Notamacropus eugenii: one gene and its partner. Each later gene encodes a partner of the first gene's protein in a complex. Links are inferred from orthologs where the notes say so. Each region holds a gene or a part of one and is shown on either strand. Other genes may lie near its edges.

Region 1 (7,967 bases):
AAATGGACTATGTTTTTAAAACCTGTATAAACAAAATGAATATAATTACAATTAGAAAGGAAACAACTAAATGGGCAAAAATCTTAGCGGCAAGTTTCTCTAATAAAGATTTTATATTCAAAATATTTAAGGATCTGATTTAAAAATCTATGTATATACAAGAACTATTCCCCAACAGGTATTAGGATAAAAACAGGCAGTTCCCAAAGGAAGAAATCCAAGCAATCAACAACCATAATAAAAAAAAAAACAACCCTTCAAAATCACTCATAATAAAAGAAATACAAATGAAAACAGTTCTGAAGTTCTATCTCACATCCATCAAATTTTAAAAAAGATTGAAAAGATGATAGACTTAAAAAGACAAAAAAAAAAAAAGAAAATGGCAGATTTTGGAGGAGATGTAGAAAAACATGCTGAATCATCTGTTGTTGGTATAGCTGCAAATTGTTCAGCCATTCTGGAAAACAATTTAGCACTATCCCTATAAAGTTACTAAACCATTTTTTTACTCTTTGACTTATGATATCACTATTGGCCTATATTCCAAAAATGTCAAAGGAAGTAAGAAAAGACCCATATATTAAAAGAAATACTAATAGTAGCTTGATTTGTTCTAGTGAAGAACGGAAACTGAAGGAATGCCATCCACTGTATAATGGCTCAATAAATAATGGTATTTGAATGTAATAGAATGTTATTCTGTCATAAGAGGTAATGAAATGAAAGGTTTCAGAGAAACTTGAGAAAAAAAAAACCACAAACTTGTATAAATGGATTCAGAGTGAAGTGAGTAGAACCTAAAGAACAATTTGCTCAATGACCACAACAATGTAAAGTAGAACACACCTTCAGGGATCACTAACCCAACTTCCACGTAAGCAGGCTGGAAACCCAGAGGACAGTTGATTATCTTTCATTCCATGGTTCTAGGGGTAATTCTGAGGTATTAGGGATTTTTCTAGTACTATTTCTCTTGAGCCCCCATCAGTGTACTCCCCATTGCTTAACCAGTTAGTATCAATTAGCAAGTCAGAGTTAATTAACTTTTTAGTTAGGGGTACTATATTTACTAAAGCTGTATAGTAATAATAATTGGCCAAAAACCCCAAAACATTCCCCCCAAAAGACTGGGATATATTCACCCACAACTATATATAGCATCTAGGGGAAATTAGGTTAAACTTTAGAAAATATATATGGCAAAGGGGTAATTCACAGTTCCTTGATAGATGGAAGTCCTTTCTTTCCCTTCCTGGAGTCCTTCTGCAGTTCACTTGAGGTGTGCTCTGAACTCTGAGGGTTGGGGTCCTTTTAGAGTCCATTCGTAGCAGGGCTTCATGTCTGAGCCTGTTGTGTTTGTCTCAGCTCAGGGACCATTAGTTACAGAAGTGAGTGCAAAGGATTGTTGTTATGCTAAGTTCAGAGTACAACTTGCTTGCTGGGCTTTAGCTCTGCAGAACGTGACATCTCCTTATATCTTGATATAAGGAAATTTTTTTCTGATATCAAACCTAAACATCATTCTTGACTTCTCCAGGATCTACTTCTGACTCTTCTGACATCCTCAACCATGCCATGGTAGCCTTCTCACCCTAGAAATTCTCTCTGCCTCTTCTTCTGATTGGTCAACTCCTCCCCAATCCTCTATTTTAAGGAGAGTGCCCAGGCCAGTCAGGTTGTCCTTCTTTTCTGGGCTCCACCCTTGACTCTCTGGACTTTCTCCATCATGCCTAGACCCTGGTACCTTCTCAGCTTCTTTCTATACATTGTTATTGCCTTCCTTCAGGGCAGGAACTATCTTTCCTAATGCTGGTATTTGTATTTCCTGCACTAAGCATAGTATATGTTTGTTTAAAGCCAATTCTTTCTTATATAGTGGATTGAACTACAATAGGTCCCTGTCCAATCTCCACTTAATGACTGTTTTTTGGACCCTCCTGGGTGAGAGGGTCCTCCTAGAGTGAGTCTCAGTGGTAAGTGTTGCTCTTTGGAACAGCAACCCTGAGGGCCTTACCCTCCCAGCTTGACTTTTTTTTATTTTTCTAATTAAAGGGGCCTTCCCTTGACTACTTAAAGAAGCCTATTCACTGAATGGGCATTACCTCACTCTAAGGGAGTACCAAAAAAAGCCTTAGCCTAAAAGGGCAAGCCAGGGTCTCCCTTTGCATCCTGGGCCATCTCCAGTCATCCTGATGAATATCAGGTCACTGGATCCAGATGGCTTATGGGGAGAAAGTGTGACCTTGCACAGCCCTCCTGCACTCAAGTCAAAGTCAACTACAAGTCATGTCATCATTTTCCTGATGTCATGGTCCTCTTTGAAAATGAAGGACAAGTACAGCAACAACTAAGCATAGTGCCTAGGACATAGTAGGAGTTTAATAAATGTTTGTTGATTTCAGTTTGCAACTTTTACCCAATGCTTTTAGTTCTACCTTCTAGGCATGCAGAACCCCGTCTTCCCTGTGTCAGCCCTTCAGATATTTGAAGACAGATACCATGTCTCCTCAGGATTCTCTTATTTAAGCTAAACATACATGCTTGTACAAATAATATTCTCCAGTCCAGATTTTAATTTAGCTTCATGTCCAAAGCATTTGTATTTCCTTGTTACCTCTCAGAATTTCTGGCTTCTTTCAAGGCTCAATTTGTGTCATTTCCTAGAGGAAATCTTCCCTGATGCCCCTGATCATTAGTGTTCTATCAATCTCAAAAAAATCATGTGTGTATATACTTAATAAGTCCCCACTCTGCCTCTTGTAAATTCCTTGAGGGAAATGGATTGGGTTTTGTTTTCTCTTTTTAATCCCACCATTTAGCATGATATTTTAGACATAATGGACACTTAAAAATATTTCTTGGAGTAGACTGGATTGTTGGATTTGCCCATGGAGGAGGGGCAGCACCCTCTCCCAGAATTTCTATCTATGGCTATCTGGCCATTGAACAAGTTCAAAATAGAATGACTACTTGTTGGGAATGTTGTTTCTCTGGTCAATTACAAGTTCCTCTACCAGTGTATTCCAGATTCTCTAGACTTTTTACTGTGCATCAGCCACCTTCTCAGCCTTGAAGTTTCACTAGAGTCAGTGGCTTCCTCACTCTGGAACATCCCTTTGTGCTAAGACCCTCTTTTCTCATTGGGGAGTTCCTTTTGAAACCTCCGTTTTGGGAAAGTGTCCAGGCCAGTCATCCTTCCAGCCTCTCCCAGCTCTACTGGCTCTCCAGACTTTACCACCATTCCTTTAACTCCCAAAACTTTTGTCTTGCCACTGGACTTTGGTGACTCTAGAAGAGAGTGCTAATGCTGCAACTTCAGTTCTCAGATTCAATTCACACACAAGTGAAGACATCACCCTGTGATATTAGTCCTCTTGCAAAACAAGGACAAGCAACAACCACCATCTCCCTGAGCATATACTTTATCCCTCCCCCTCCTTTTTAGGCTGATTTTATTTTTTATCTTCCCCCACTATAATGTGAGTTCTCTGAGAGTAGGAACCTTCAGCTTCACTTTATATGCCTAGCACTAACAGGGTCCCGCACATATTAAGGACATAATAAAAGGTGCTTGATTGACTGATTTGTTTTGACAAGATGTCTTGAAGGTTCCATGAGAGGAAGACTGGTATGATAACAGCTAATATTTATATAATGCCTTCAGGCTTGCAAAGTGTTTTACATGTATTTTACATTTGAGCCTTACCACAACCTTGTGTTTATAATCTTATATCCAATTTGTAAATAAGGAAATTGAGACTCAGAGAATGACAGTGGAAAGAATTGGACCATTCATCCATCATGAATTCAAATCTCAATTTGATACTTTTTCTTATCTGTAAAAGTGATAATATTTAGGCTATTTTACAGGGTTGTTCAGCGAAAAGTGTTTTGTAAACCTTAGTGTTATATAAATGGAAATCATTATTGTATAGAATGTGACCTCTTTGTGGTCAGCAACTGTCAGTTTTTAGTTTTGTATGTCCAGGACTTAGCACAGTATCTTACAAAGAGTCCAGGCAGCTAGGTGGCACAGTAGATAGAGGACTTGAGCCCTTTCTGAGTCAGGAGGACCTGAGTTCAAATATGACCTCAGACACTTAGTAGCTGTGAGACCCTAGCCAAGTCACTTAACCCTCATTGCCTCAAAAAAAGAGATTTTTTAAAAAAAACCTGCTCTGTGCCAAGCGTCTCATCCGATCCTCACAACAAGCCTTGGAGGAGTCTGAGGCAGACAGAGACAGGTTAAGGGGCTGGCCCAGAGTCACACAGCCCGGTGTTTGAAGCCACACTTGAACGCAGCTCTGGGTCCCCAGGATCCACCCTCTGCACCCCTAGCTGCCTGGATTTCTTCCAGCGCTAGGGCTGACCCTCATGGCTGGAGGGGCAGAGGATTCACCCATCCAGACCCTCTCCCTCCCCGTCAGACCCTTTACGCAGCCCCGAACGTGCCCGTGTCCAGCATGGTTAGGATGGGAGTCACTGCAGCTGGACCTGGGCTGGCTGGGTGGCTCAGCCCCGGATGAGCGCATCAGCATTCATCTCCAGCACGTGCACCCTCCCCGCTCTCCATCTACCGGGGGTGAGCCATCCCGGGGCCCAAGCCGGACTGGGCGAAGCTCCTTGGGGGAAGGCGGCTTGGCTCCTCGGAGGACTGCCGAGCCTTTAAATCCCTTGGAGGAGAACCAGCGAGGGTCATCGAGGCGGGCGTGGGGGGCAGCGGGAAGGAGGCCGGGCGAGCCTCCCTGACTCAGTTTCCCCTTCCGTGACGCGAGGGCGCCGTGCCCTCCACACAGGCCGCGCTCCATCAAGGCTTGGGCACGACCTCGCTGTTAGCGAAGGCCGAACCAGAGGGTGCGGATGTTGTCAGCAATAACACCGCGGCGCGTAGGGGGCGCTCTGCGAAGCGCTTCGCCCCGTCTGACGCCCACGGTTAGCTTTATTCTGGTTAGTGCTTTGCGTCTCGGCTTTTGCGGTTTCCTGGAAGGTTCAAGCTCGGACCCTAAAGCCCGGCAGACATCGGGCCTGACGCAGGAGAGGCCCTCGCGTCTCCCGTTGGCGGGAGCCCACCTCCCTCCAGAGGCGGTTGGGGCGCGCGCTCCCAGCAGGTCCTTTGGGGCGCATGCGCACGAGCCGGCTGCGCGCCGAGGCGGGGGCGAGAGCGCGGTGAAAGGTAGGTGGGGCCGGGAAAGAAGGAACTAGAGCTCGAGCGCGCTCCCGCGGCTGCCTCAGCAGGGCCTGGGGGGGCCGCGTGCGCATGCGCACACGCCAACCGGGAGCCGAGGTGGGACCGAGGCCAAGCGCCAGAGCGCGGTAAAGGTAAGGTAAGACGGCATGGATAAATCTCTCCACCGCGGTCTCGCGGTCTCGCGGCATGGATAAATCTCTGCCAGGCTTTTGAGAAGCGCATGCGCAGGGGGGGGAAAGCATGAAGGCGAGAGCGCGGTAAAAGCTTAGCTGGGCGGGGGTAGAAGGGATTAGAGGAGTGGGGAGCGTTCTCGTTTGAGGTGGCGCATGCGCCATAGTCCGCCGCAGCGCTCCCGATTGCATTGTAAAGCCCAAACGTCGGCGCGCCCCCGGTCTGTCAGTCCGTTTCTCTCTTCCCGCCCCCGTCCCCTAGGCCCCGCCCTCTCTCCCTTTTTTGGGGACAGCCGGTAACGTAACGTCGACTTGGGCGCGCGGCGCCCGGAGCACGTGGGGGCACGTTGCGCCGTTGCCCCGCCCCCCTCCGCTCCCCTCGGCCCCTCCCTATTCCGCGCGCGCGGCGGCGTCGGCTGCGTCTCCGGGTATTTGAATCGCGCTTCCGCCATCTTTCCATCGTTCAGTCAGGCGGAGACGGAGACGCTTCTGGAAGGTAGCGGCGGAGTGGGGCGCGGGGGGTTGGCCCGGGCTGGGGAAGGGGGGCCGGGCGGGCGGGTGTTGGACAGGAAGGCATCGAGGACCGACGCTGAGAAGGAGGCGGCGGGCCGGGCTCCCCGTCTCTCCTCCTAGGGGGGTGGGCGGCCGCGGCGGACCGGGCCGGGCTTGGCGCGCTTTGTGTGAGGAGGCCCCGGCCGCCAGGCCGTGCGGAGGCCGCGGATCGTGAGGCAGCCGGGGAAGGGGCGGGAGAGGCTGCGAATGCGGTGCGGGTGCGGTGGGGGGGGCGGCCTAGCCTTCCCTCCCCGCTCCTCCAGCCACTCCCGCCCCTCCCGCCGCGGGCCCCATGACCAGGCGGTTTTCCCGGGCCCGGTCCGGCCTCCACCGCCCCTTTTTGGCGTCTCCTGGAGACGCCCTTCGGGCCCTGACGGTTGAATGAACCCGAGGCTCGGGGGAAAAAAAAGGGCCGCCGCCATTAGCGCCTCATTCATCCCCCTCCTCCTCGCCGTCGGCGCCCCACGCGGGCGGGGGGAGGAGCCGCGGCCTGGGCCGGGGATGAATGGGCCGAGCAGGGGCGCGGAGGGGGCGCTTTGTGGGGCCGCGGGGCACGTGGCGGGGAGGGGGAGCCCGAGCATGCGGCCTCGGGTCCGAGGGCCTGACGCGCTTGTGTCTCTCCCCCAGAACCATCGCGATGGCCGCCCAAGGAGAACCCCAAGTGCAGTTCAAAGTACGTAACTCCTGGGGGGGGCCGAGATCGCCGAGGTGGGGGCTGGGGCGGCTCTTGAGGACACAGGAAAGACCGTTGGATCCCAAGGCCTTGTGATGAGAAGCAGAGTTTGCACGCCCGTATCCCAGCTTACATAACAGGCCTTGAAATAATCTTTATAAATTGATTACCTCCTAAACTGTAGTAAGGCTTTTTCATCCAACAAGGAACTAGTTAGTATTTGCCAAATGAATGTTCCAAAAAAGTATTTAGATGATTTAGTTGATACATAAAACAGTTAAATGTAACCTGAAAACGGTCTGATACTTGATTACTTAAACTGTGGTAGCTCTCTGAATCCACCATAGTATGTGGAAATGGATGTTAAGACATTTAGATGGTATTGTTTGATACATGGAATGGAGAATGTTTGTGTGTGTTTTTGAGAAGTCCACCTAAAATATTTTATTTTTCAACAGCTTGTATTAGTTGGAGATGGAGGTACTGGAAAAACCACATTTGTGAAACGTCACTTGACTGGTGAATTTGAGAAGAAATATGTAGGTATGTATCTTTTTTACAAGTTAGTTGCACCAATTTCAATAAAATAAAATCAGTGAACTAAGTCAAAACCTTTTGCTGTTCCAGCCACCCTGGGTGTTGAGGTCCATCCTCTCGTGTTCCATACTAACAGAGGTCCTATTAAATTCAACGTATGGGATACAGCTGGCCAAGAGAAATTTGGTGGTCTGAGAGATGGTTATTACATCCAAGGTATGTATACAACTGTTTTGCATGTTGTTATATCAGCTGTATGTTGCCAGAAGTTTTTTTCAGATATGTGTATGTATAAACATTTTTACAAGTGACTTCTGGTCTTTGGGGAGCTCCTGTGTTTAATAGAGGACTGAGATTTGAATCTCAGCTGGTCTGCTTGGATATACCAAATCCAAGATGTTTGATGATAGGTAAAATGAAAAGGGTTCAGCTGAAGTTCCTTTCCTTAAGATCTAAAATGGCTATGACCTTATTAAAACAGCAGAAAGGAACCTCCATATATTTTGTCTGAGGTATTAAAGTTGTAGCATAATATTTCATTGGTTAGTCATGTAACATTTAACCAAGTTGTTTCTAATAGGTAAACTTTTATATTTGAATTTTTGAAAGGTACCATGTCAGTGTGCATAGTTGTAAAAATCTTTACACTTTGAAAATAAACTAAATATATAACAGTAAGTGTTGGAGCAAAAATTATAGGACTTAGAACTTGAAATTGGATTTCTCTCAAGCTTACACTGAAGTCTAGAGTGTTTAAGCCCATTGTCCCTGGGACTCCAAAAAATTAAGTCTTGCCTCTGGAGCTTGAAAAAATTGTTTAAGATTTAATGTTGTAAAGTCAAGA
Region 2 (7,436 bases), on another chromosome or scaffold:
AAGAAAGAAGCAGAAAAACAGGTGCATTGGACTCTAAGTCAGATCTAAAAAGCTTAGACTCCTGAACACAAGAATTGACCACTTAAAGAAGTTAATATTAAATGAAGCAATGATAAAATCCTTAAATTTGCTTGAAACATTTATGCAGGTAGCCCTCTGAATGAAATTTATTAAGCACTTTTTGAATTCAGCTTAAGAAATAGAATGTTTCACACATTCAAGAAAAAAATACAGTTTTTATAGGGACCACCACTTAAAATCATTATTTCACTACCATATAAACCATAGGGGGGACCTTCTTCCTTTTTGGAATAGAAACACCATTGGTCTGTGTCATTCCTGCCCCCCTGCCCCCAACCTTCACCCCCATCAATGGCATTGTAAAATTTCTACAATGTTATCTGATTTCTGTCAAACTGGTTATTACACAAAAAGTTCACACCATACTCCCCAAATCATTATTAAAAGAGCAGCACCTCATTTTAATCTACCCTTAGCAGAAGTTCTCCAACTACTTATTACTTACACTTGATATCAGCCCCATGACATTGTTCTTTAGAAACACCTTCTCCAGGCGAGACATGTTGTTCCACCGAAACCTGGCCAGCAAAATGGAGAAATGCAATAGATATACACTGAGAAGACATGGAACATTTTATAAAGTGAGAAACAGAACTGTTCCCCGACCTCAATTATGCTGTCACATCCATCAAAGAATCTACTGATAAATGTACTTTTGATTCTACATGTATACAAATACTTTCATTCTGAAGATTAGACTTGAGAGACTCCAGAGTAGGGTGTACAATCCCAATACCAACATGACTCTGAGAATAGATTTTAATGTGCACAAAAGCTAATAGTGGAAAACCACATACACAGAAACATCTATTTATTGTCCTTTCATTTTGATGAAGTAAAATAAATATATACCCCTGATAACTGCTAAGACAATAAGAGGACCTTGATGCTATCTGACTAGGTAGTATAACTTTCTTGGATATTAAGGTGATATTTACAATTCTGGTGTAAATCTAGTTTAGTGTATAAACACCAACTGTTGCAATGGTAGTTGGCCTAGAGAGTACAGATGACCAAAATTAGGAAGCTGGCATGTGGGAGCTTTTGATATTTCTGGATAATGCTACACTAGTCATCATACATGAACTGTTCATGTACTCAGAACTGAGCAAGGTTCTCAGAAAGGTCATGAGGTACAGAAACGTAGAACCAGAAAGACCACATTAGATTCTGAATGTTTACAAAATGCTTGCCTCACATCATGCCCCCAGATCCTACCAACAACTCAGTAAGGTAGAATTTATACTACAGGCATTAATTTCACTTTACAGGGAAAAAAACAAGGCAAGAGAGATTGAGTGCCTATGCTCACTCAGTTAGCAAGCACCTGAGGCAGAATTCTAGCTCAATTTCTGCTGATTTCAAGTCCAATACCGGGAAACTTCCTTGGATAGGATTTTGTCTAGTAATAGGAAGACTATGTACGCATATGTCAAAAGTCACCAGAAAAAGAAAAACAATCCTTAATATTCAGAAGGTTCAGTGGGAAAACTACAGGCTATATGAGGCTAAAATGATCTCAGGTACATAAGAGTCTCTTACTTGACAACATGCTCCAGGATCTGAAGGCCAAAGTGTCTAACTATTGGAGTTTGTGTTTTCTCAGCCAACTTCAGGCCACAAGGGACACAAATGGGGCACTTTTCTTTAAACTCTTCACAAAACTGAGGAAAAGAAAATAGATAATGCTTTTACTAGCAGCTGAGGAATAAAAAATATGAAGAGGATTATTTGGTATTGTCAGCAAGGAAACACATATCGAGGTATGAACAAAGAAACAAAAATATTCTTCATTCATTATCTTTACTTTTTTGATTTGTCACCCCAGCCAAACAGATTAAAATGAAACAATACTTCAGCCCGATGAAGAGATCTAGTTATTCCGATTCCGCTCCTTGTGCACAAGATGAACATTCATAAAGTTATGAAGCTTTCTTTTCGGGGTGGGGTGGAGCAAATCAGTCATTACCTGTACAACTCCTGTTTAACACGGGAGTGTGATTCTGCCCCCTCCCCAGCTTCACCAACGCGCACGGCCACGACCCTCCTTCCCCCACAAACCCCAGAAGACCATTTCCTCAAGGACACCGCCACCGTTGAAAGGAAAATGCAAAACTTGACGTTCAGCTCCATGCAACGGAGCCTGGACACCACGAGCTCAAATCCTAGAGTTCTAGAGTGTGGGGGGGCGGTGACTGGTGACTGAGAATGGGCAGAGATGAAGGGAGGGAGATGCTTATAAACCACACCAAAGGAATGCCAGCCAGGAAGAAGTCCGGGCAGGGCACGGGACCGGGCCGCACGTTCACAGGTAGCAGAGCAGGGTGAGGAGAGATCACAGAGCGGGGTGAACGGGGGAAAGGAAGAAGGCACGCAGACTGCCCGGGGAAGGCAGCGAGGGCTGCAGGCACTATTGTGCCCGACTGCTGGAAGAGAAGGGGGGATGGGCAGGCGAGGATGGGGCGTGGGGGAGTAGCCGGCAGCCAGGGCCCGGGAAATGGCATGGCGGTGGGAAGGGGCCTGGGTGCGGCGGGGTGAGCCGGGCCGGGGGAGGGGATGTGGAGGAGCTGCATCAGAGGGGCGCCAGGGAGCACGGGGGAGGGGTTCGCAGGCCTCGTGGGCCCCAGGCCGGAGCGGAGCCGCGGGCCCGGCGTCCGCAGCGCGTGGACTCCTCGGCGGTGCCAGACGCCCCCCGAACTCCGCTTTGCAGGTTACCTTGAGGGCCTCGAGGCGGTAACGCTGGGTGGAGCTCGGGTCCATCATGACCGTCACCGCCCTCACCAGCTGCTCGCACAGACCGTTCACTTCATCCGTCGACATGGCGAGAATCCCCCCGTGCGGCGCGCGCCCACCCCCGGAGCACGAGGCAGCTCTCCGCTATACCCGCAACCAGGGCCGCAAGCGCTCCCACACCGGGGCCGCACCGCGCAACAGCGCCCGGGGAAGACCAGGAGCGGAGGGCAGCAGAGCTACGGAGCGAGCACCAACCGCTCCGAGTGGGGAGGGGGGAAAAAGAGGAGGAGGAAGAGGAGGAGGAGGAAGAGGAGGAGAGGGAGGAGGAGCCAAGGAAAAGGGGAGGAGGGAGGCAACCACCCTGCGCACGCGCCGCCGCCCCTCCACGGCGCGCGCACTCGGGTCCAGCCACTGCGCAAGCGCCCCCTCCAGGGGAGGGTAGAGGGGGCGGGCCTTTGGCCACCACGGGGCGGGGGTGATGGGGTGGAGTTTAGCGTGCACGAAGCGCGAAACCTGAAGGTCTAAGTGCGCAGGCGTTTCAACGGTTTCCGGCGACCAAAGGCCAGTCCTGGTCTAGTCTGGGTTTGAGCTGCTGCTTGGCGCGGCGGTCGAGTCGGACGAGATGGGGACATCTTAGCCGGGTGTCTGACAGCGGGCGTGGAGGAGGGGCGATCGCCTTCTTCGCCAGGCCCGGCCCGCCTTCCTCCCCTTCGGCAGGCGGCGCGTCTCCTGTCAGACGGACGCCGAGCACGGCGGACCCCGGCCGGCGGCGCGCGCAGGTGGATCCCTGGCCTTGGTAGGAGAATTGTGGGCCCCCTTCCGCAGGAGCTGCCTTGGTTCTCGGCTTGACGGGACGCCGCTTTCGGTGACACCGGCCGGTCCCGGGGCCGGGAGCCGGGCTCGTCCTGCCGCCGAGTCTTGGCCATCCTGTGCTGCAGAACTGGAGCCTGGAAGTCTGACAGAATCGCGGTTGGATCTGATTGGGTCGTCTTGGGGGCAGTATCTTAGCTGTCCAAGCCGGGGTGCCAGACTAGGGACTCCGAAAACTGCCCTTACGGTACTTACTGGGATGTCGTATCATCTGAAAGGATCCCCGCGAAGAGATGGGAGCATTTAGGGGTGGCCCAGTGCGGCTAGGAAGGGTTAGTTTAAGGGAGAGCCCATCCTAAAAGAGAATAAAAACAGGTATTTTAAACCAGACGATGTAATAGTGATCATCGTTATCAGGGTCAGCACCGACTGGAAAGAAACTTCCTCCAGTGTCTGTTTTTGTGTTCTGTGCAATCTCATTTACATATTGTATTCGCTGATATTTATGTCTTATATCCCCAACCCCCATTCGATCACTTGTTCCTCTAATCTTTCCTGTTATTTTAAGTGCCTTTTTTTCCCCACTGGCAGTCTGATTCTTTTTCGTCTTCGTAGTTTCATAAAGTTGCTACCATGATCCACTTTCCAAGGCTGAGTTATCTCTGTTACATGAGAACTTAAACTGCGGATATATTACATCCTTCTTTAGCTATTATTGTTCAGTGAACTAAAATTGATTTCCTTCTTTCAGTCAGATATCTCAAATAATAAAGAGATATTATTTTCTTAATCTTTTTTTGCACATTTCCAAATTAATAGCATTGAGACATACTATAACTTTTACCAGTTGAATCCTGTTTTCTGTTCTAGAATATGGTTGGATGCTTAAAATATGGTTGGGTGCTCAACTGTCAACCTCTGTCTCCTATTTACATCTATACTCCTTCCTCTCTGCTCATTTATGTTTCCTGTGGTTTTCAACTTAGTACTTCCTAAGCACTCTGAAATATACTTGTGCATTGTTCACTCCAACTTCCAGATTAATAACAATGATAAATATCACTAACCTTACTACCTAATGAATTATACTTTTTTGGTTTTCCGTTTCCTTTGTCCTCAATAAAGAGGTCAAATAAAAATGTGTAAGTGATTTAGGTTTCCTCTCTAGAAATACCATCTCATTGCTCTTTTCTGTGTTGGTCTTGGGTTCACCCAAGTCCTATCTGGGAATATTGTATTTTTTCCAGTTACTTGTAAAAACAATTTTTAACATACATTTAAAAAACGTTTTTGAGTTTCAAATTCTCTCCCTTCCTTCCCTCCCCCTCATCTCTCTGAGATGGGAAGTTATATATAGGTTATACATGTACAATCATGCAAAAGATCAAGTTCTCTCCCCGGACCCAAGCTCAATTATTCTCTCCTAGAAGCTTTCGGCTGTTCTGATGGATGATAAAGAATTCATGTGTTAGTGAGTCAGAATTCATTATCTTCCTACCCTTACTCTCTCCCCTTCCCATCTTCCCTGTTTCTGTAAAGGGCCCTCCTCATCCTTCCAGACAACTTGGTTTGCAACTTCAGAGTCATCAGCACTCCTTCATTCTCCCTCACCCCTTGTGTCCAGTCAGTTGCCAAATTCCCGGGATAAAATACAAATTTTCCTGTTTGGCATTTGAAACCCACCACCACCTAACCCTAACCAACCTATTTTTCCAGACAGTTGCACATGACCCCTTGTCATGCATTTTTCTTCTAGCCAAATTGGCCAACTTGTTTTCTCCAAACTTGACATTTTCATAGTCAAATATCTCATGTCCTAAATTTACTGCCTCTTTACTTGTGCCTCTTAGGATCTGTAGACTGCTTCAAGGCACAGCACCAAGAGATTTCTCCTGAAATTAATCCTTTACTTATCTCTCCCCCTCTATATGTTAGTATTCTTCCTACCTCACTGTGGCTATTTTGTATTTATTTTATATTGACCTTTCTATGTACATTTTTGTTGTCTCATAAGAGAATGTAAACTCCTTGAGGACAAAAATTGTTTCATCTTTCTTTGTATTCCTACTGTCTAGCACAACTTCATGCACATAGTAGGCCCTTAATAAATGTTTGTTGAATTGGCATAGTAGATAAAGAGAGCACTGGGCTTGGGATCAGGAAGAACCATATTTGTGAGTTCAAATCCAGCCCCAGATACTAGCTGTGTGACCCTGAGTACTTTATTTAACCCTGTTGGCCTCAGTTTCTTCATCCATAAAATGAGTTGGAGAAAGAAATTGCAAACCACTCCAGTATCTTTGCCACGAAAACCCCAAATGGGCTCATGAAGAGTCAGAAACAACTGAACAACACAATTTTGATCCCTCTAAAATATTTTATTGAATTATATATAGTAACCATACTGAATTATCCTTAGTGATTTCAGGTTGCTTTAAAACTTAAAAAGTACGCTGGTTTCTGTAGCAAAATACATAAACTGAATAAAGTCATTCATACTCTGTCTAGTAGAATTGTGAGTTAATCTTTTAACTGGCTATTTTGTGCAGTATTAAAAAGTGGTAGTTTAAATAATCCAAGAAAGAGTCTTTGTGTTATGTCATGCTACAGACTAGTTAACTAGAATTTGATGAAACTAAGTGAAAAAAAGAATTTTCAAATGTGGGTTACTTTTAGCCCATTCTAGCCCAGGTTTTATGATTATCAAGAACCTTCAAATTGCCTCATTATAGGAAGGTAGGAAGAAATTCCTCTTAGGGTTAAGTGGAAACCTTCCAAAACATATTTCTCTCACATGGTATTCTTAATAATTCCTCCAAACTAATAAACAATTTTTTCCTGCAGGTGGACATTAGCTGTTCTTAAAAGAATGGCTATTATATCAAAACTTAGTTTCTTCTTTATCTATTTTGCTCTTGCTTAGCCTTAGTAGAAAGGAGATAAAATTGAATTTCACAGATGAAACTGAAAGCCAAAGTTAATCAACAGTTTCATCTAATTTCTCCTACAACTTTAAAAAAATTTGTGTAACCACAGACTAGGTCCTTATAGTGTAGTTTTTACCAATGCTTCTGATAAATTGAATTTTTGAATAAGCATTATCAAACTTGACGTTACATTGTTAGCTTTCGGCACTGAGAATTTTTAGAGTAAGATTTAAAGATCATCTAATTCAATCCTTTCATTTTACAGATGAGAAAACTGTTCTGTTCTTCACCTTGTTTCCATCTTTTAAAACTGAAATCATATGCTACCTCTTATGTGAAGATTTCCCTGATGCCCATAGAAGGTAAAGATCTTCCTCTTTATGCCTAATGCTTTTACACTTTTTGTAATATACTTGTAATATTTTAGATTGTAGTTATCTGTTTTTGTGCCTTAAATTTTCTGAGCTTTATTAGTTCATTAGTTCTCAACATCACACAAATTACCTGAAAAGGGTTATGTTTGACATACTCTATTCAATGCAGGAAATATTTATTTAAGCCCATACCATGTGCACAGGACTGTGTTAGACTCTAAGGAAATACAGTTTATGTAAGATATTCTTTTTGACTTGATGGGGCTAAAAGTCTAGTAGTGGGATAAAGAAGGAAGAAAACAAGCATTTATTAAGTGCCCACTGTTTAGCTAGGTGCTGTTACAATTATTATCTCATTTTATCCCCTCAGTAACATTGGGAGGTAGGTTCTGTTATTATCCTTATTTTGCAGTTGAGTAAACTAAGACAAACAGATCAAGTTACTTGCCCAGGCCCATACAGCTAGGAAATGTTTGTAGCTAGATTGGAACTCTAGATTGGTTTTCTGACT

The links.
Region 2: RAN (region 1) and XPO5 share a complex: the UniProt entries of both Homo sapiens proteins name them as parts of the nuclear export receptor complex. The link is inferred for Notamacropus eugenii from reciprocal best matches to the Homo sapiens genes RAN and XPO5.

Annotation. Positions count from the first base shown.
Region 1 is NC_092875.1:46,255,201-46,263,167, forward strand, and holds the start of RAN (GTP-binding nuclear protein Ran), read left to right. Parts: upstream 1-4,873; 5' UTR 4,874-4,950; intron 4,951-5,091; exon of another isoform or gene 5,092-5,857; intron 5,858-5,875; exon of another isoform or gene 5,876-6,041; intron 6,042-6,540; 5' UTR 6,541-6,550; coding exon 6,551-6,586; intron 6,587-7,044; coding exon 7,045-7,129; intron 7,130-7,213; coding exon 7,214-7,339; intron 7,340-7,967. UniProt on the Homo sapiens protein: GTPase involved in nucleocytoplasmic transport, participating both to the import and the export from the nucleus of proteins and RNAs. Switches between a cytoplasmic GDP- and a nuclear GTP-bound state by nucleotide exchange and GTP hydrolysis.
Region 2 is NC_092873.1:106,525,557-106,532,992, forward strand, and holds the start of XPO5 (exportin-5), read right to left. Parts: upstream 3,099-7,436; 5' UTR 2,902-3,098; coding exon 2,797-2,901; intron 1,746-2,796; coding exon 1,624-1,745; intron 600-1,623; coding exon 527-599; intron 1-526. Other genes in the region: POLH (DNA polymerase eta), read left to right, coding at 5,074-5,095, 6,817-6,913. UniProt on the Homo sapiens protein: Mediates the nuclear export of proteins bearing a double-stranded RNA binding domain (dsRBD) and double-stranded RNAs (cargos). XPO5 in the nucleus binds cooperatively to the RNA and to the GTPase Ran in its active GTP-bound form.